Styela clava: one gene and its partners. The protein of the gene in region 2 purifies or fractionates together with the protein of the main gene of each other region. This does not show direct contact. Links are inferred from orthologs where the notes say so. Each region holds a gene or a part of one and is shown on either strand. Other genes may lie near its edges.

Region 1 (6,828 bases), on a different chromosome or scaffold from region 2:
TAATAAGATGGCTTAATGATATAGTCAACCACGGCTGCATAGTGAACCCCAGTTGCCAGTGCATGCTGTGTATGAAAATAGTTAACTTGTCTCAGATGCAAAGACTTAAATTGTACCAAAATAGAAAGAACCTCACAAAACAAAGCCATATGGAATGACTTTTATTGTGCAATGAACTTAAAATTGACTGTATGCATATCATTGAAACATATGCCTTGTTTACCTGTTGGTAAATATATTTTCAATATATTACAGGTATGATGTATACAAGCACCAAGAAATTATTGGTGCAGTATTACCTGAAGGACTAGATTCAACATCGGGTTTTGAACGAGTCGGTCATATCATTCATGTCAATTTATTAGAACATCAAATGCCATACAAGAAATTAATTGGTCAGGTTAGTTATATCTTGGATTGAAGTTTGTTATTAGTTTGATATATCGAGCAACGGTTACTATTTTGACAATCTCATGCAAATGTTAACCAGCTTAATTTTCTGAAATGGTTTGATGAAGATTATTAATTGACTGCTTTTACCATATTTAAACTCATATTTTTCTCTCCATTCAAAGCTCATAAATGTTGATTATGGTTCTTTCTGGAATTTTTCAAAATGGTTTTTAAATCACTTTGTAACATTATGCCTCCGACAATATTCAAGTTTAACATGAATATATGTGCAACTACAGATGTTGCATCTGCCCTAGATCAATTGAGTGAATTATTGTGAGTTGTGACTGTACTTTGATAAATTATTTCAGAAGGGTTTAATAATTAGGAATAATTCTCATTCTAACTCGCAAATGTGATTGTTATCAAAACCTTATTTTCAGGTACTTCTTGACAAACACAAAGCAATCACAACTGTCGTGAATAAATCTTCAACTATTGACAATACATACAGAAATTTCCTAATGGAGGTTATTGCCGGTGAAGCAAATTTTGTTACCAAAATAATTGAATATGGCAATATTTTCGAATTCGATTTTTCAAAGGTTTGTTGTTAGTAATGATGCAGAATTTATTAGTACTGTAGTTTTCTATTCACATACGAGTATCTAAACTCTGGAGCCCTTTTTCATTCAGGTTTTCTGGAATTCAAAGTTGCAAACTGAGCATCAGAGAATAGTGGAGTTGATTCCAAAGGAATCTGTTGTCTTTGATGTATTTGCAGGAGTTGGACCTTTCTCCATACCACTTGCCAAAAAAGGTATTAAGGTAAACTACCAATCAAAGAACTCGCTGATAGTACTACCCAAAGGGTTTAAATTCGACAATTTTTCGTTATCACTTTTACAAAATATTTTTATGTATTTGCTATTTTGTTGACTTTTGTAAGTTGTATCATGCTGTCGTTTTGGAAATGGCATGAATATAAATTATAATGATCTTGTTTTCCATTATTAAATTTTCGTACTTCAAAAATGGGATATGCAAAATTATTAAAATTCATCCACCACTGTAATACATTTCAGAATAAAGAAAAAGTTTCAAGCTACGACCCTATATGCTGAGAGTGAACATGTTCCTCAAATAACATTTCAAGTTTGTTAGATTCTCTATTTAAATGGTTTTGTAGCAGTTTTCCCCTCCATTTTACTGAAATCAAGTTTTTTTTTTTATGAGTTTATGAAAATGAATTTGATTATGGCAACAGGTTGTGAAGTATATGCAAATGACTTAAATGAAGAATCATACAAATGGCTTTTACACAATTCAAAACTAAATAAAGCGAAATTGAATGCATTCAATATGGATGGCAGAAAGTTTATCAAAGAATGCTTGGGAAAACATTTGCAGTAAGTATTAGGTATCTTACCACTAGTATTCAATACCCCAGGGATGGTGACTGAAAATGAATTAACCCATCTATCTTATCAATTGCATTTTAACTTTTATAGATTGTCATCAAAAACAGAGACAATATGTGTTATAATGAATCTACCGGCACTGGCAATAGAATTTTTAGATGCATTCACAGGATTGGTCAAGAATATTAAGTATGCAACATTGATAAGGAACGGTTTAGCAATCGGAATGTTTAATTTAATTCAATAATATTTTATCATTTAGTCGAGCTGAAGACAACAAGACATCAAGTTCATTACCTCCAGTGACTGTTTATTGTTATGCTTTTTCATCTGCTCAAGATTTAAAAGGTATGATTCCTATATAATTAAGGCTTTTTGTCAAATTTAAGACTTTCTGACACAATCTTTTGCACTACTACTATTCTTAAATATGTATTTATTTTAGGTGATATTAAAGAGAGAGCAGAACAAAGCCTCAGTGAAAATCTTCCTGAACATAGTATTCGGGAAGTCAGAAAAGTTGCACCAGGAAAATACATGCTTTGTTTATCTTTTGAAATTCCTTTTTCTCTTTTATATGAACAATCAAAAAATGGTGATACTGATGAATCGGAATGTAAAAGAATAAAACTATCATAGTTCGTATTTTTGTATGTTGAATTTGGAAAAGGCAATCATGCACACATTTTATATCGATAAATACACTGAGCTGCTCATATTTTCATATTTAAATTTGAGGGAAGGCAATCCTGATAAAATGCAGTATTTTATATCCATGTGTTTTCTACTGCCTTATAACCACACTGGACTGCAGCTATATGGATTGCAGAGGCCTTGTGTGTGTACACTGTCTGTAAACTAGCGTGTCTTACATCTATGCAGTTTGAAAAGGATAATAACATACATGTTTGATGACGATTTCAGATGAACTTTAGGCTTGATGAGTAACAGTGGTTGGCGGTGAAGTCGTGGATGTCTCTGATGCGAATGGTTTTCACAGTCCAGTGAGATTTTTTTCCGGGAAAGCCAGGGACAATAATTTAGTTTCAACTCTGACATGTGACAAATGGTAGAAATTAAATTCTGAATATGATCAAATTTAGATTAACAGAGAATGAGTTTTGAAATTAATATCGTATCTTGTTAAGTTAATGCAGTTACTTGAATCTGTCTTCTGACCAGTGACTGGAGGCGAATGTTTTGAACAAAAATCGGTTTGGAACCAGGATGTTCAGATGCCCAATTTTGAATCGAGTATAAATTTTGTGTGCTTGGTTTGTTGGTAGTTGAGATCGTACGCTATCCACCAATTTCCTAACTTAATTCTAAATTATGTCCTCCATCTAGGTTACTCTGCAATTTAGTTATCTGTTTTCGCCTACAATATTGTCTTTTATCGCTTTAGAGGACCCGAATTAGGCGACAAATTTTAACAAAAATAACACGTCGTTAGACGAGAAACTTCAAATGTACAGGTTAGCAATGCAATTTGTATATGTCGCGGAATTGTTTCGAATATTTTCGAGTCTAGTCATCAAAAAGTTTAAATCTGTAAAACAAAAATCAGGCTTTCCTGAGACGTGGGTGCACCAGCCCAGAGATGCCATGTGCTATTTATAATAATTTATTGGTTTACGCTGGCGCACACGACAACGATTGCGCAACAAGTTTTGGTACAAATTCAGTAGATTCAGCCAGATTGTAGATTGAATCGTGGCAATTGTAGGAAGCACTGACTTGAAAATAGTTCAATTTATATTCAAAATAGTATAAATATTCAAGTTTCTCTAAAAAATTTGTTCAAATTGTTTTTGAATTTAATCATTGTTTTTTGGTTTAAATCATTGTTTATCCCAAAATTGATATACCCGTTGCCATCTGGCATCTATGGAATTGTATAGTAATTTTGCGAAATTTATTATTCCATTTCAGTCTCGCAGATTCGCACGTGTGTTGCTTCTATAGTCCATTTCGCAGTTACACTTCTGTTTTCGGTGATTTTCTCCATATTTAGATTTGCTGCAACTATCCTACTCAAGGACCAATTTTCATAGGTCTACTGTGATCGTCCAAATACAAGAGATACTCATGACGCCATAGGTATTCATATGGCAGTATTGCCCAGGTGCCGTCTGGCCTTGGTGAGTTATTAACCCTCAGAATTCGGGTTTAGTACGGTATAGTTTTGTACCACAAGTACTTCCGGTGGGCGTAGCATAACGAATTTTGCATATGCTATTCCTAACCCCCACCTGACTATGTCATCCAAAAATTACGTCACTACGACGTCACCCTCACGTCATAGGGATTGCCAAAGTATAATTACGATCGCCCGAAATGACATCTGCGCCGCCGATAACGAACTTGCTAAAGCCGGCGATCTCTCTCCTATAGTGACCGTTGTGACGGGAAAATGAGAGAAATTGCTTGCTCGATTTCGGGTGATGGTCTGTGCGTTTTGGACGAGCATCCGCATACTTCGGTGGGCCTTATTACGCCACTGTGACGTCGAAATGACGTAATATTTCGGTGACGTAGTCAGGTGGGGGTTAGGATTGACATATGCAAAAATTGTTGAGCCAGGTCAACTAGAAGTACATGTGGTACTGAACTATACCAGACGCCAGAATTCAATCACAGATGGGCTTAGTGCATGAAAGCTGTAATAGAGTTTTTATTTTATCTGTTAACTTATGCAGTATATCGAGGTACAGTTGGTGTTGCCTAGTATATTTTAGAGGCGTTCATGTCTGGGTTTGGGGCTTCATTTCCATCTCTGAAAAAGGAGCATAGGTATTGAGGCTAAGAGCTTTATTCGAATACCGTATGTCACATACTATCATTTATTACCAGAACTTTGTCTTTCAATGTAAATGCAATCTGATTTTCACTTTACTATATCAGTATATGTTAATATATGCGATATGCATATATTATTAGGCCAAGAGACGTTGAAAAAAAACTTCCTATGCCTATATACCGTTAAAATGCTGAATCAAATTATTACTGTTTTCTGCTCAAATTTTACATTGTCACAGGTGTTCCAAACAACAGAACAAACTTTTTTTTCTGCATTCTAGTCTAATTCATTTTTTAAATAGTGTATTTGTGCTCTTCAATATTTACAAACAATGAATGTAGCTCCTGAACAACAATTGGCTGCTGAGCTTGAAGTTGAAATGATGACTGATATGTACAATAGGTAAGATATTTATTATTTAACACCTATACTTCAACACGGTATGCAGCTAATCCTAGTCACGCCTTTTATGCAATCGATGCAATATTTGAATTTATTTGTGTTTTTATAGATGACATTTGGACTAAATTCACTAAAAATATAATGACTTTTTTTAACCAGAATGTCATCGGCATGTCAGAAGAAATGTATCAGTACCAGCTACTACGAAGCAGAACTACAAAAAGGGGAATCTGTTTGCTTGGATCGTTGCATCGCCAAATATTTTGAGATTCATGAAACAATTGGCAAAAAATTAACAGAAGCTTCACAAGTAGAAGATGAAACAATGAAGAAAATGCAACAACAACCTAATTGATAAAAACAGCCTATAATGTGATAAGCTGTGTAACTTTACAAACAGATAATATTCTTGGTGCAAGACACATGCAATTATTCAACAAGGAGTTATATGAGATTGCACATGTTGTTTGATAAAACTGCATAACGGCATTTCTCATATATGTATTTTGGTTTGTGCGTATAAAGACAGTTTAGGAATCTATAGTTCTGGATATCGAAAGCAAGGCTTTTTGGCAGGTTTTCGCCAACAAAGGTAAAGCTTCTATGAAATCAAGTTACACTGTTTAATAAAGCGTAATTAAAAGTAGGATCTTGAATATCATTTTGTTAACCAGCCTATTATTTATTTACAATAAATTTGTTTCTTTGATAATACAGCGCATCAGCGATGTAAGTTATAGAAAATATTTGGATAACCACAGAGTCGCCCATAACTTATTGCACAACATTGCAAGTCTAAGCGGTGATGTAGGAACGGTTGTCATGAAATTAGATTGTGCATTTCCAGTTGGCCAGTGTTCTGTGTGTGTGGTATTTTTGTGCAAATTAGCCATTCTAATATGTTGTTCAAACTTTTTGTATTGTTTTAATATTTATTAAAATTGAACCTAAATGTTATTATGGAGGTATTCATTTGGCACTTATGTTCCACTTTCACACAGTGTAAATAAGTTATATGTCAAAAGGTATATACAAATAACATATGAAAAATAATTGAACATAAATAGGTAATGACAGATCACGGTCAATATAATAATGTATGAATAATGCAAGTTTAGCAATGCTTTAAAACTGGGATTCTCTTTTTTCTCTCTCTTCCCACTTTGTTAATATCATGTCCTGTAAAAAATTAAAAAATAGACAAAGTAAATGTTTGAGCCTTTCACATAAGTTATTGCTCACCTTATTGGGTTTCTTATCCAATAAGTACTTTCACACCGCTGAATTTCCAAATTGGTTATTACAGTTTACTCAATTTTCATGGTTTGTTGGGCGCTCCAGAAGTGTATGTACCGATATGGAGCCAACTAATTTTGTTTGCCCACTTTACATCAAGTTGTATAAAAGGACTGATGAAACCTATGGGCAGGGGGTATATTTACTTGGCTAACACAGACAGTCCCCAAATTCGTAATATTCAACCGGAACGCTTGAGGAAAATCGGAACAAAATTATGGCCTGACCCTAATCCCTGGTTCCTGTACTACGGGAATATTGATTGTTCTGCATACAGTCTATAGAATTCATATTTGCAGAGTGGTTCATATTTTATGACTGCCACTTGTGACTTCACCATACATGTCTATGTATCTGAACCCAGACTAAGATATCATTTCCCCTCTTACAGGATAATATGAAATCCTATTCTAACCTTTCTTGTTGTCAGCTCTGCACTGTTTACTCTCCATCTGTTATATGTTGCATTTACTGATGCTACTTTTGACCCTGGACTTGAAGTTGCTTTCCTTATTC
Region 2 (7,351 bases):
AAGAATATTTATTTTTAAAAATCCACAGTGGAGCGAGCAGTGTTACCTATTAGTAATAACTATCTCTATTGCAAGCATCTGGTTTTAAAGTAATTTTTTGCCTTCATCTAGCGGCCTGGGAAGTATAAAATGCTCCCCCCCCCCCCCCAATCACAAAATAAACACTTAAGTGCACACCTTATATAATTAATTACTAGTCCAGGCTGCTTGCTTTTAATGCTACTCTATTTATCATTTTTTCGCATGGTGTTTTTAGGCTAGAATTAAGCACTTAAAAATTTGTTGTTTTTCAAATATATAATTTTCTTTCAACTGGGTAATGAGACTTTATTATTTTGTTAGAAAGCCGTAGTCGCAAAAGATTGGACTAGCATTTGTTCATGTGAGAGTACCGCTGAAAAGCACTTAGGACCCAGCGGCCACAATTCAGTTATGTTTAATAATAGATAAGAACAGCCCTTAGTGGGGAAACTGCACTTTGAAAGCATTCACTCACTTGTGGAATCGTGTAAAAAAATGTAACAAAGTATTCCAGAAAATACCAATCAAACTTGTCTTAATACAGAACCTCGCAAACAAACTCATTTTTCTTTAGAATCTCCGATATATGCAGCAGCAATAGCAGGTCTGTTTTCGGTCTTCATATTAACCGTTTCTGAACCATTTGAGTTCTCAATTTCAGTCTCATTTAAAGCATTAGCTTCAATATTTAAATTATCGTCATTGTCATTTTGCTTTGAAGATGATGGTTTATAAATGTCTCTATTTTCTGATAAACAATCTTCCCATTTAGAAAAGTTATCAAAACATTTTTCCGCAAAAGAATCTTGGTCGTCTCGATTTTCCACCCAACATGTGAAAGCTTCACGAAATGAGGGGCCACAAGGTCCATTTGGTAGATTTCCAAGACATGGACAATCCCAGTTTATATCTCCATTCGGAAGTATTGCGCCTAGGAATAATGAAATATTGTCAATAATTTTACAATACGATTTCATACCCATACCACAAGGCAAATGAAATACGACGAAACTATATGGAAAATCATGGTGTGTGGCCTTGATATTAGGCAGCCAGAAATAAGTACAGGAATTGTAAAGTCAAAAAGATATGCATTCGTAACAATTCTTCAATCAAGTCATATGCAATATCAAGAAAATTAAACATGAAAAATATAGCCACTACTTGATGAGGACATTAATAATGTGGTTTGAGACGGGTACAAATTTTAAGTATAGGGCAGTAGGGGTATCCACCGTTTGAATCTTATAGAAATAATGTAATTAATATGCGTCAAGCTCAAATCCCATGGATAAATTGCTTATAACATTTGATTTACGACCTATACTCGTATATTCGAGCATTCAAATAATAAAAAAGGCATTGCTAACCTTCATGGCTGGTATCTACATCGCTGGGATTATCCGGGAGAAGTGTGACCGTACTGGGACTGGACAAATCGTCCTCTGTCGCGAATATTATTATGTCTTTCCCTGAACAAACAAAACATTTTATAGTCATATTCCATGCGAGTGAGAATAGCTTTTAGATGAAATAACTGAAACTAACCTTCTTTACGGCAGTAGGACATTTCTTTTATCAGCATCCAAGCGCCCTAACTTCTAAACCGGAGCACCTGCCAGACCAGCGTGACTTTCACTGTTTGCAGTCACCGATATGCCCCAGTGGTTATTTAGACAGGGTATAAAATTAAAATTTCACAATATTTATAAAAGACATATACAATTAAATCGAATTACAGTAAAGTGTGGTAATTAAAATGTTTCTTGGGTAATTTTGTCACACAGATTAAAGTACGAAAATTAGCCATATGCATCATTTCAAACAGCCTCTAGCTTCCGACAGAGAGCAATAATTCGTACCTCATGAGTCATGATGCGCAAGCAAAGCGCGGACCGCGTTTCCCAAAATCCAACCAAAACAAAATCACCATTCAATTCGCGTTCGACAACGCCGGTATCGCGTTCTTTCGTTAATGTTACTAATGGAAATTGCATTATTACTGCATTGCCATTGAAAGACTGGGCATATTTATTATTTCAGAATACGTTGATTTTTAAACGATCTTGCATTTTTGTATTATTTTTATCGCTCCGAGATTGTGTGACTTGTGTGTACTGTGTACGGTAGTACCGGGTACTAACATATAAAATGATCTATTCAATTTGATCGTGGATTTAAATTGCTGTATTGTTAGTACGGTAACCAATGTTATTAGAGGGCTTCGAATAATGAAAATGCAATGAATACTTTGGTGGTGTGGAATTTGTCCCTCTTAAATTTAGATCAAATTGAATGTGGTTCTGAATGTAGCCTATGAAATGTCCAATTAAAACTATAACTAGGCTATATAAAATTTAGTATCAAAGTAGGCTGGCTTGATTGATATTGCAGCATTCGCCCTGTCTGTGATGCTATGAATGCATGTACTAAATTTGGATATTGGCATTAATAAGGTACGGTATCACTGTATCACCCCTTGATATGTTGAATGATGCACAACTTACAGCGGCTGAGGTCAGTAGTTTATTTTATCACATGCCGAAAGCACACATTGTACAAACATAATTAAGAAGATAAGAGAAATGCATTTCAGTGTGAAATGAGACGCAATGAACCAGTGATGGTTATCGAACAGCATCACCTAACAGCCTAAGACGGAGTCTAACATTAAATCATACTGAGAAAAAAGAGTCGAACATAGAATAGAGGTATCTATAAGGTCTTGAAGTTGCTTAACATTGCTATTTATTCCTTAGTATTTTATATTATTTATATAAAAATGGCTACAAGCGATGCCACAAATTCACCACAAGGACGTCAACCATTTCCTTGGTATGGGATTGATATAGGAGGTACTCTGGTTAAACTCGTTTATTTTGAACCAACTTCAATGACGAAACAAGAAGTACGAGATGAAGAAGAATCTTTGAAAGTAATTCGTGAAACCTTGTTATCGAGTATTGCGTATGGACAAACTGGAGTGCGGGATGCTCATTTAGAAATCAAGGTTCATGGTTTTTTGTTGCTTTGTTAATATAGCTGTATAAAAAATCATTTAAGTTATAAAATCAACACAGTTCTCCGGTTTCAAGGATAGCCCCTAGGTTAAAAGACATCAATAATAACAGTCAGTGCAAACCCCTCATTTACGAGACAATCTTGGTATTCATATTGATACAAATTGGCAAACCGTCAGTGCGCAATGAACTAAAAGGAAGCGCAATCTTGAGATGTCACCATTAATAACAAGCTATTGTGAATTAATAGGAATTGAATTTGTAGAATGTTTGAGATAAACATTGTTTTGATTATTACCGTAATAGTCTTTTTTACAGCACGAGGTAAAACTCAGTTTATTTGTTATGTGAACGGCAGAGGTTAAATTTAAATTTAAAAATATTTTAAGTTTTTTTAAAATCAAAAATGTTTACTACCGTACTTTTTTAAATTTTCCATTGATTTTGTGCCCCCTGTTTATAGTTTTACTTTTACCATGGAAGAATAATCAAACAATGTCCCTGGTTCTCTAACAGTTTGATCTTTTTCAGGGATTGAAATTCAACGGTTATGTTGGCAACATGCACTTTCTTCGATTTCCAACACACAGGATGGATAGTTTTATTCGAATGGTCAAAGAGAAAGAATTTTCAACCATGCATAATATATGTCATGCAACTGGAGGAGGAGCTTATAAATTTGAAGAAAAATTTTTGAAGGAGATTAATCTAAGACTCAACAAGTTGGACGAATTTCAATGTCTGATAAAGGGTAATTAAAATTTTTTTTGTTTACTAATTCTGGTAGTTTTAACGAGGTTTGATTTTAAATTTTTTTCTCATCTCTTTCAAGTATTTATATTTTATTCTATTTTGGTGACATATTACACATTATGTTGAACACACTCTAAAATAAAATGAATGTGATTCTTGTAACCTAATCTTGTCGTTGTCGCATCAGCTCTTGTAGCACAATCAAAAATTTATGATTCAATGGGCTAAATTAATTACAACTCTTAAACTTAATTAATGCGTTGCTATTTTTATCAACTCAATAAAGACGAGAAACCTACATGAAAGTTCCTCGAAACAAGAGCCTAGCTCTTAGACTAGAAATTCCCCAAATTGCCCTTCAGTCTGTCAATTGAAAATTTTTCCACAAGTACCCTTCAATGGCTACTCATCATATATGGTAGTTGCTATATTGAAGAAGTTAATAATAATCAAATATCTTTAAATACACCCTAGATCTAAGTTAATGTTGATATGCCACGAACGACGAACCAAATAAAAGATTAAAAATTTGTAAAGATAGCACATTGCAACTTTGTAGAGAACCCCTAAATATTTCCAAAGATAGTTTAATTATGTGCCTAGCTACAGTTGAGGTAAGCGGGCATTTGTGTTTTGCAGGAATGTCTTAGTGTATTATGGAACTTGACAAAAATCAAGATTTTTATAAACTTTTTGTGGTAGCAATTATGGTTTCAATTAACGAAGTTAGATTTTTGCAAATAGCTTATTGATAAAACTGACATATTTTAATAATACCGACGTCATCATGTTGAAATAGCTTATTAATAAGATATGTTTGTTTGCTAGAATGGAATAAACTCGCATATTATGTAAATTGTTGTCTTTCTTCTTTGTCTCATATTTTGTTCTCATATTGTGACCAAATATACCAATTGATATTTTCAATTTTTTGCGGAAATATTTCAATTTTAATTAGTACGTTTTCACTTGCGTGTATGACAGTTTATAATTTGATATTGAGAATAGCCAGATTTTTTTTTCATCCATTGTATGTAATATACAGTTGGAGTTCCTTAGTTAAGGTATACTTTTGCCAACATACCACTAATACCAATGAAATTATGAAGAACATACATCATTCCAACTATGATTGCAGCACGACACCAGTTATATTACCGGTACTATCTTTTACTATATGCACCTAAGAATATTATGTAGTTTCAAGTATTGATTAAGAGCCTTAATATGTGTTATGCTCCAAGAAAAGAGTTCCGTGCCTGTACATCTGTCTCTTATGTTTTTGTTCTGATCGATCAGGATGTATACTGCAAGTCAATCCTTATGAGATGATTTTTGTTTGTTTTAATAAGCCTCGAAAGCTTTTATAAACAAGTTCAATGTTGCATTGTGAGGATTCTTTCATTCGTGGTAAAATTTAATATTGTCGTATTATTCATTTTAGTCAAATTCAATACATAGGAGTTTGTTGATTTCATATCATGGAATTCAGCTTTCAAATTTGAATTTCATAATATTAATAAGTTCAATAAATAACATACTAAAATACGATGTGAATTCACAAGATATGTCAAATTTTTCAAGTATTTGACATTGTTATTTTGCCAAAGGGCCAAAATTTTAAGAAAATACTGTAACTAAGCAAAAATTCAAATATCATTTAGATATTTTCAAAATTTTTTCAAGCCCTTAATAAATAGTGAATGACTAACTAATATTTTTTGCTGTTGTGGCATGTTTTTACTGTGTTTTTTCATAATGCATATTAGTTTAATGTCATAAATGATTTGTGGATAACCGTCGGTTATATTTGTGCTAAATAAATAAATTTGCTTTTATGCAACTTCAATGGTTCATAGTTACTCTAGATTGGGATATCAGAATTAATTGCTCTTTAAATACAACTGTAAATACTTTGTTAATAAGTAACTATTTTACTGTTTTCGACAGGAATTCATTTTATCGACCACAATACAGAAGTCAATGGAAGATCTGAATGTTTTTCTCTTGCACAACCCCTAGACCCTGGCGGACTGAAAAAAGAACCATACAATTTCCGAAATCCTTATCCTTACCTCGTCTGCAATATTGGATCGGGTGTGAGCATAATGGCGGTATATTCACAACAAGAATGCAAAAGGGTTTCAGGTATTGTGATGAAGAATTTTGGAAACAAAAAAAAAATTCAGTTGATTACTTAATTTTCACTGTGTTTCAAGTTTATTCTATCGTTTGCGGAAATTGTATTGTGCGTGCTAAGGTATTTTTGAAGATCCTATATCTAGTAAATTTGGTTAAAGAACTTTGATGTACTTCTCGCAACTGAAGGTGTATCAAATGAAGTAAAAAAAACACCAAAACTGATTAAAATAAATCAAACCTGGTGAAGATATATTAAGGAGTAACTTCATAACAAAATTTGATCGAGACAAGAATACGTATTAGCTTATACCAAAACTCTTATTCACTCTTACGAAGTTACGATTTTTCCACACACAAGTGACTTCTCATTATAGGCTTTTTATAGAGTAAAAGTGCACAACACTTACAAAGTTTTGTAATTGAAGTGTTTTACTATCGAGTGTTCTATATCATTTTTGAAGTGGTCATTGTTGTTTGATCTGTTTTGAGATATAATTGAAAATTAAACGTAATTTTATTTTAGATTAGTCTCACAACACAATCACATATCAGGATACCATCATATTTAGTACAAAATAAACTAGTATAGGTATATACTGGGAAAATTTTTGTGGGCGTGTAGGCGTGTCAGTGTCGTTGACTATCACAAGTGTAATGTTTTTATAGCAACCAATGAAATTACTTTTATAATCATGAAAATGGAGGCGTGTTTGAATTCAAGTTGTTAAAATTAACGACTGTTCCCCATTGTTACTGTCTAATCAATGAAATCCTTTGTTAAAATTTTTTATATTTGACAGGTAGCAGGGTTAAAAGGATTTTATTATTTGACTTCAAATAAATCTCTATCAGTGAGAGTATTTTAATATCTGAATATGTATGGTACAGGCTTTAGAAATTGTAAAAAAACTTGTTATGTCATAATGACAAATGCTTTTTACGGAGCAAATACCTATATTTTATTTATTTATCGCTGTGATATCTGAATTATTTCATTACATTATTTATTTTAAAGATGTAAAAAAGTTTATTTCCGTCATTAAACTGTTGAATAGGCACCTATCATTATCTATTCTCATCTATCTTTATCCTATCCCTATTTTGCTAATGGAATTTGGGTACTCCTGTAGTGTGTGTACCAGGTTAAGGTTAGGCCATAATTTTATTCCGATTTACCTTATTTTAGTTCTATTACGAGTTTGGGGACTGTCTGTGTTAGCCAAGTGAATATACCCCCTGCCCATAGGCTTCAGTCCCTTTACACAACTTGATGTAAAATTTGCGAACAAAATTAGTTACCTCCATATTGGTACGTACACTTCTGAAGCACCGGAAATTGTATCCATTTTGAATACTTTTTCATTATTGCCTACTTCTCAGGGACCAGTTTAGGAGGAGGAACATTCCTTGGGCTA
Region 3 (8,085 bases), on a different chromosome or scaffold from region 2:
CAATGTATTAACTCTTGTCGATAGCTTGCTGAGCATATTATGACATTTGTGTGTAATTTATGTTCATTCAACAACAAATTAGCACAACAATTCATAGATCCATATTGGGGCAATCTACGAACGCGAAATGGTAAGATTTGGTGAACGTATAGGATCAATTCTTGAATGTACATGTTACTTTTTAACTGGCTAGTCGTGATAATTATTGTACAACTGTCGGATAATTGCTACAGGCAAGGATTAAAAATGAAGATAATATGTGCAGGACTGCAGAAAACCGGTACAAAAACTATGGCTCAAGCATTAAGAATACTTGGCTATAATGTACATGATGTATTTGAACAGTTTTTCTACGAAAAAGAGTTGTGGGACAAGGTTGGTAATAGAGCAAGCAACGGCGGTACTCCCGTAGTGTGTGTACCAAATTGGGGTTGGGCCCTAATTTTATTCCGATTTTCCTTATTTTAGTTCTATTAGTTCGGGGACTGTCTGTGTTAGCCAAGTGAATATACAAAATTAGTTACCTCCATATTGGTACACACGCTTCTGGAGCGCCACAACAGCAGCAAGCTATATTGTCTTACGTGATTATGAATTGCTTCCTTTATAAAGACATAGGTATTCTAATAATTTGGAAGCGGATCCACTCGTTTCGAATCCAACTGTCTGAAGTACGTTTTTATATGTATGATACATATGTTTCTTGTGTCCGAATTTGTGACATTATTTCGGACACTTATTTTCAGTATTGTAAAATTTGCATCACTGCAATTTATGTGGAATTATACACTTCTGTAGCGTTATAATTTTTGCAATGTTTACATCAAATTGCAGGTTCTCGAGAACTCGGCATCCGTGGAAGACTACCAAAAATTTCTGGGAGAAATTGATGCAGTAATGGACTGGCCTGCTGTTGCTGTTTGGGAGCAAATAATGGGAGCTTTCCCAGATGCAAAAGTAAGAAAATTCAAATAAATTGGCGAATGGAAACGTAAATCACAAATGACTGAAACTGATTGCATGGATAGTATTCATTTGGTGATTATTTAAGCTTCAGGTGTCATCCCAGTTATCTCCGATCTTTTTTAAGTTACCCCAGTTTTGAATATAACATATCCGCTGAGTGACTTCGCTTGCATATAGCAGATATATTATAACAGAATTTAAAAAATCACACAGCTTCTCAGACCGCCAATGCTAGTTCATGAACTCATTTGATTGCAGGTGATTTATTAAGGTTTGGTGAATTCGACTAGTTCAGTACCATCCTATGTAACGGGATCATTCTGTTCACAACAAATGCGTGAAGTCAGATTCTAGGCGAATATATAAGATCGCGCAGATTCGACTTTCGTATGTTATATTTGGACAGATATCTGGTATTTATGAACCATGTGGTTCCGAGTTTCGTATGTGTGGCGCAACTAAGCTACAACTGACTTTACTGATATTCCTATGCGCAAAGAATAAAAAGCCTGTGATCTTATTATTTTTGTTATAGATAATTCTGACGGTTCGTTCGACAGAAGATGAGTGGTACGAAAGTATGAAAAAACATTTTGAAGTTGCAAACCAATATGTAACGTGAGTAAATGGAAGAAACTGCATATTGTAACTTATTGCGAAGTAATGATTTCTTTGACTATTCTTTTAATGAAGTAATGACTATACTTTTAATCTCCACTGTCGATTTAACCTTCAGGATTCGTATGGTATATTTATTCGTTTAGAATGAATGAAACTTTACTCAGAATACTTTTACTATTTGCGGGACCACTTGCCAGAGAATTCAATAAAACGCAAAGAGCGTTTATACCGGCCTGTCTTGGATTGCCGGTAATGTATGGATCACATACTGAAACGTTTCTGAGGTAAGTTACTGAAAATCTAATGTAGGCTATGTATGCACGATGGGCAGCTTCAATGGTGACCGTACATTTAAACCCATGTGTATATCCGCGGGTCCAATCTATTTGTGGGTGCTAAAACCCATGGGTTAGGGTTAGTATGGGTTCAAATATCCGTAAAACAAAAAAAATTTATATAGGTGCAATAGTATACAGGTGCAATTGTCGTGGGTTCAAATGTAATGGAAGTGGAACCAGCTTCAACGATGTCATATTTCACTTTCCTAGATCTCGATATCGACAGCATAATCTTTATGTGAAATCAATTTGTCCGAATGAAAAACTTTTAATATACAATGTTAAAGATGGCTGGAAGCCACTGTGCGACTTTTTGAACGTCGGATATCCGGATACGCCTTTTCCAAGAGAGAACATAAAATCGGATATGATTCACAAACTTTTGAATAATAAATGGGAGCACGATTGCGGATTCCAAAGCCGTATGGATAGACAAATAAGAGTAAGATTGGGAATAATATTAGCTGTGATGCTTGCAATATTTTCATATGTTATGTACACAGTTCTCGGATAAGAAAATTCACCGAAAACCATTTAAGTTTCAATCTTCCTAAAACTGAAATATACGTTTTTGCTGATGGAAGTATGATTGGTGGTGTATGGTTGAATTATCAGCATCATGGCGACTTGTAATTTGAAAGTAATAATTATTGTGAAAAACAAAACTATTCAATTCGATTAATTAATTAGTAGTAGTTAATTAAATATGATATTTCTGGGTATGACTTACAGCCACAGCCTTTATCATATCGTTATTAAATATTTCGTATGTGTGTAATAAGTACAAAATTTGTACCATCAATTTTATCTGTGTAATTTGTAACAATTCTAATAATCAATTGTGAAAATTAAAACAGTGCATGATCATTTAGATAAATAGTCAAAATGATTTAATCATATGGCATCTCGTTTGGTTACCAGTCCATGTTCAAATGCATGAATTAACTGCTGGAGGAAATCTTACCAACCAGCGGTTACGTTAGCACAATAAGACGACAGGAGTTTACCAATCACCTAGGACACAATTGCCTCCGACGGGATTTGATCCCACCAAGGGTGAGCATAGGTGCGATGGCAAGCATGTTCCTAACGCTCAGCACGGTGCGCCAACGTCGGTTCTGAGAAATGATTAAATGGAGCAAAATCACGAAGCCTTGAAAGTAGCTCATTCCTAACGTAACGAATGTTTTTATCGAACCACGAGCCCATCACATCGTTGGAAATTTAAAACATCATACGCAAAATGAAGCTTAAGTCTAGTTTGAGAGTCGATGAAATTTCATTCAAAATAGTTGAATATTTACTCAAAATTCCAAGACAGCCAAAGTTCTTCTTCCTCTTCTCAAAAAGGGTAGCATTTCAGATCTTGGAAGTTATAAACCCATTAGTTTCTAACGTCGCTTTCCAAAATTTTTGAAAAAATAATAGCAGAATGTCAAGTTATCGGGCGCGAAGTCAAAATTTTGTTGTTGTGTGAATTTTTTTTCTTGTTGTGTATGAAAAAACGCCGTTCTCGTTAACTACCAATTGTTTTAAATTTTCAACGGTTTAAGATTTTACCTCTGTGGTTGTGTGTGAATTGAATCAATACTTGCAGGTGAATGAAAACGTATCACTTCTTTATGACAAAACCTTCGCTTTGCCTCGCTCAAGGTCTTGCTTTTGTTTTCGTTTATTTTTTATTAATCATTTTATGCAATGCAATATCTTTCTGTATTGTTTTGTTTGCTCTCTTGATTCTATAATCAGTTTTTGATTTATTCACTTTTATCAAATACTTTATCGTCTGTTATGCGGATTATGGAATCGAAATAAAGTTATATCTCTAACTAAAAAGGGTCATGAAATGACTGCTTGATTGGTACATCTCCGCCTTTATGTATTAAAAATATATTCCGCCGATATATCATGGGGTTAGTGCCAAACTTTAGGTCAGGGTTTCCCTAACTTTCAGTTCGTCGTTACCCTTTAGACCAGTGGTTCTTAACTTGCGAGCCTGCTGAATCCCTGCCGCCGAACCCCATCGCATTGAACGGTTGAAATTATCTCCCCAATCCTAACTTTTAAAGAGGAAGTTAATTTTGTGCAAGGTTATAGAAAATGAACATCGTGTGTAACCTTAGATATATATCAATACCCCGTGTGGAAATAGCCATTGTTTTGTCACAAAAGTGTCGGCGCCAAAGGAAGCAGATGTTTTTTTCAAGTTAATAAACGTGTATATAAGTGAAAATTTGATAATAAAAAGCAACTTTGAAAATCCGAAAGATGCCAATATGCATCAAAAACGTCGGTATTTCAAGTAATTTGTTTCTCAAACTGCATTGAAATTCGGATAAAAGCGTTTGCCAATTGTTTTATTTTACGGAAATAGATATAGGATATTATATGACTAAATGTACGACATCTATGAAGTTTTCGATGAAATGTACTGGGAACAAAGGTGTTATAGGGAGACAAGTGCGTCTTAGGGATAAAGACTGTTCACCCTAATATTCAAAGTTCGATTCCCACGTTATTAATTTCACGTGTTATGGAATGTGACTCCAATCTGGATTCCCTCAGACGATAATAAGCACACGATGATGATTGTCGAATTGTTGTATATTATTGAAAAGATGCACGATCCAAATTCCAAGTACAGATAAAGTTGTATACACTTAATTCCTAATGCAGTAAGATTACGGTCAGATCCAAGTCATAAATCGAGTGAACAAGAAAAGCACAATATTATAGAGCATTCTCGGCAGACCGGAAACGATACGTTATCAAATTGGTCGAAACGAGAAAGGCAATACATGGAGCGAATGCATTATCGCTGTTGCGAAACATAATGCGGCCTAGTTTGTGAAATATTACATGCTATTAATATGAAAGGGTAAAATACATTATAATCCATAGTTACACAATGCACATTCGCTACAGTGTAACATCGACAGGTCTACTTAAACTTATATCTGCGCGAAGCTATACACACAGCTAAGCTAACTTATTATTTGTTGAAGGTGTAAGTTTGAATTTCTGAGATGAACTTCAGTTATTTTTGCATGATTAGTGGAATAGGTAATAGACAATCATATAATATGAAACTGTTTCGGAGGATCTTCGTTGAACCCCTGGAACAGCTCCACCGAACCCCATGTGTTCGATCGAACCCAGGTTAAGAACTACTGCTTTAGACAATTTAGGATTCGCTTGCGTAGCATACCCCGAAAATTGCACTGCGTGCTGTGATTGGTCAAAATAGGTCATGGGAACTACGAAAGCAAGCTTGTTAGTTACTGTGGTGTAGTTACAGCACAGATGGTTAGCATTCTTCTTCTCTGTGGTTACAGCTTCTACTTTGAATGAACTGTGACTTCCTAAAGAGTTCTTTCTTGGTAAATTATTTAAATCAGATGATAATATTGTAAGACAAATTACAAGCTATGGAAAGACTATTTTCGCACCTTATGTCGAGATGTACCCCAAATTGGGAACTCCTCCTTTAGGCATTTACATACATTCGCTGTTTTAGGAACAATTGAATGACTGCTTAGCACTTTTTAACGGTACGGTACAAGGAGCGCATGTATTGATGTTCAACATAAATTTCTTAAGAACAAATATTTTTTGTAGCAATTTTCAGGAATATTTCTTGTGGGATATTTTTCGGGTGGAATTTTTATTTCAAAGGGAACACTGCCAGGGTTAGCAACAGAAGATACCTTGCTACAAGTATACCGGTACTACCAAGCGTGATTGCGGGGCCAGCGCAAATGCGACATGGACCAAATTAATTTTAAAAATGAGGAAGAGGTGAAAGAATATTTGCAAAATACCGAGATTGAATTTATGTTTGGGTGCGAAAAAGAGTTCAATTCAGACAGTGAGTGCTGTTTTATACCTTCAACAATTTAACTTAGTGCTGCAGTCAGTGGTAAATGATAAGCTTCTTTGAATTTTTTGGGAAAACATGAAAAAATTAATACAAGTTCTCCAAAACTATTGACTAACTACTGTCTATAATACTACAGGTTGTGCCAGGCTTGGCAACTTTCTAGAAGTCGTGCGAAAGGACTACAAAGGTGCAGGCACTGCTTACAAAACATGTTGCCAAACATATAGGAATCCACTATGCTGTTACAAAGTTGGTCAATTTTATATGCTTGGAAAAGGTGAGTGACATAGGCATTACGTGTAGGATTATCATATTACAGTATTATCCACATCACTGAAAAACTGAGCCCTAGAACTGTTTTGAAAATTATAGATAGTCTCTTATGGTGTTGGGACTTTTTCATGTAATTTACATGCTGTTTTGTGTCCACTGTGTCGCAACCAAATCATATATTCCAATATATCAAAAAATGTCTATACTACTATATCAAAATTGTCCCTCTTATTGAAGTTTTGCAGTTAATCCCCATCATTTTGTACATACTTACGAGTTATATATAAATTCAGGTGGCTTGGCAAAAAGCCAGGTTGGGGCATTCGACTCTTACAGAACTGCATGTATCCAGACCAAGACTAAAGATGAAGGCAAAAATGACAGAATTGCAGCAAGCTGTTGCAACATGGGCTTGTTGTTAACGCAGTTTCCAGTGAGTAATTAGGAACGCTTAGTCAAATCAATCTGTAGAAAATTTAGTCCTTTAGTTTCACCATTACTGCATTGAATACATGTCACATTGTGGCTCTAGAACTCCTATGTTGCAAGTTGAACAAACTGGTTTTCAGCCATGTTCCTTATGTTAAAGATGATATATCAACTCATATATTTCGGATGGAGTGTTTGAGACCAATAAATCATTTTTGCATACCCAAATACCATCTTCTTTACAGAAACTAAGAGAGGAATTTTGGAACACAACAAAGGAAAAAGTTGATTATTCAAAAGCAGACTGTAAAACTGAAATCAGTAATCTACCTACTGATGCTGTACAAGCGATTCAAAGATCATGTGATCTAAATGACGCTGTGGGTTGTAATTTTTTAAGCCAATTATACATGACAGGCTTTGAAAACCTATGCAAAAAAGACTTTAAAATAGCTGCTAAATATGCTGAAAAATCCTGTGAATTAGGAGACGCAGGTGGTTGTCATAATTTGGCTCTGATGCATGAAAGAGGAGATGGAGTGCCAAAGAACCAGGCAAAAGCTGATGAATACAAAGCAAAAAAACTTGATTTGTTAAAAGGAAATACTTCACTACAATTTGGTGCGCATTAACTGTGATAGTAACGCTACATGCTGTGTTTGTGTTGTTAGGATAAAATATTGTAATAATATAATGCCGAGCCGTTCGCATCAGAAATATTTATTCAACTGGTGTCTTAACAAATTGGCGATGCTGAACCTACCACTTGAATACTCTGAAAGGCTAGGCAGGGGTTTCTCTAGAATTCAAAGAAACTAATTGTAAGAATCCGCAGCACCTGGCAGGAAAGAAGAGTTAAGCAGATCCGTGGTTCGGGTACCTCAATATGAAACAGATTGCGTAGCCTGAACAAAGGGACTCCAACCAGTGCCGTGGGTGTGCCTGAACCATATCACAGACCACACACAGCCTTGTGTCTGGTATTGTAATCGGTAACCAGTTATTTGTTTCAGATGCACGAACAGGACTAATGTTGTTAATTTGATCCATTGTAGTAGGTGCGATGCATGAAACCTCACTTGCAAGCCTATGCTAGATTCATGTCGATAACGGTTGAACCTACAAGTTAGGACCCAACAAATGCAACACTGTTTTAAGCAAGTCTCATATGCACAAGTCAAGAAAAACCTATATTTGATAGAGAGAAAAAAAGTGAAATTTAAGATGTATTTGCTGTTCTTGGAAACCATGTCATTCTCTCTGGCTGTTCTAAAGGCCTTGTAACAGTGTGCCACCAAAAAGGCGGATATCCGTCTTTCTCCTTAGCTGCTGGTAGTTGGTCAGTCATAGGAACTCCCTGAAATTAACGAGGGATGTCAGTAGAACAATAAAATGACTTAAATTCTCGAATCAGTACTCACTTCTTCAATATTTTTTTTATCCCATTCTTGCAATATTTTCATTTCTTGTTCCCAGGTTTGTTTTCGAATTTCGATCCATTTTTCTCGTTTGGCAAGGAAATCGGGAAACATAGCTTTTTCTTCTGCACTCCAAAATTCGATGTAGTGCTCAGGAATC

Evidence for each region.
Region 1: the proteins of mitochondrial intermembrane space import and assembly protein 40-like (region 2) and mitochondrial import inner membrane translocase subunit Tim10-B-like purify together in Homo sapiens (co-immunoprecipitation; 4 studies listed by BioGRID and IntAct, with this or other methods). This does not show direct contact. The link is inferred for Styela clava from reciprocal best matches to the Homo sapiens genes CHCHD4 and TIMM10.
Region 3: the proteins of mitochondrial intermembrane space import and assembly protein 40-like (region 2) and cytochrome c oxidase assembly factor 7B-like purify together in Homo sapiens (co-immunoprecipitation; 3 studies listed by BioGRID and IntAct, with this or other methods). This does not show direct contact. The link is inferred for Styela clava from reciprocal best matches to the Homo sapiens genes CHCHD4 and COA7.

The regions. Positions count from the first base shown.
Region 1 is NC_135253.1:5,422,093-5,428,920, reverse strand, and holds mitochondrial import inner membrane translocase subunit Tim10-B-like, read left to right. Parts: upstream 1-4,840; 5' UTR 4,841-4,945; coding exon 4,946-5,016; intron 5,017-5,175; coding exon 5,176-5,371; 3' UTR 5,372-5,973; downstream 5,974-6,828. Other genes in the region: tRNA (guanine(37)-N(1))-methyltransferase-like, read left to right, coding at 256-400, 837-998, 1,090-1,213, 1,661-1,802, 1,905-2,003, 2,077-2,162, 2,260-2,453; uncharacterized protein LOC120326221, read right to left, coding at 6,142-6,195, 6,728-6,828.
Region 2 is NC_135258.1:10,888,145-10,895,495, reverse strand, and holds mitochondrial intermembrane space import and assembly protein 40-like, read right to left. Parts: upstream 1,728-7,351; 5' UTR 1,607-1,727; coding exon 1,570-1,606; intron 1,494-1,569; coding exon 1,392-1,493; intron 953-1,391; coding exon 582-952; 3' UTR 569-581; downstream 1-568. Other genes in the region: pantothenate kinase 3-like, read left to right, coding at 2,804-3,031, 3,573-3,792, 5,745-5,942, 7,317-7,351.
Region 3 is NC_135262.1:10,210,364-10,218,448, reverse strand, and holds cytochrome c oxidase assembly factor 7B-like, read left to right. Parts: upstream 1-5,493; 5' UTR 5,494-5,690; coding exon 5,691-5,793; intron 5,794-5,941; coding exon 5,942-6,082; intron 6,083-6,371; coding exon 6,372-6,511; intron 6,512-6,752; coding exon 6,753-7,139; 3' UTR 7,140-7,230; downstream 7,231-8,085. Other genes in the region: uncharacterized protein LOC120332494, read left to right, coding at 60-130, 234-375, 835-957, 1,502-1,584, 1,731-1,871, 2,136-2,367, 2,798-2,908; NADH dehydrogenase [ubiquinone] 1 beta subcomplex subunit 9-like, read right to left, coding at 7,727-7,864, 7,929-8,084. UniProt on the Homo sapiens protein: Required for assembly of mitochondrial respiratory chain complex I and complex IV.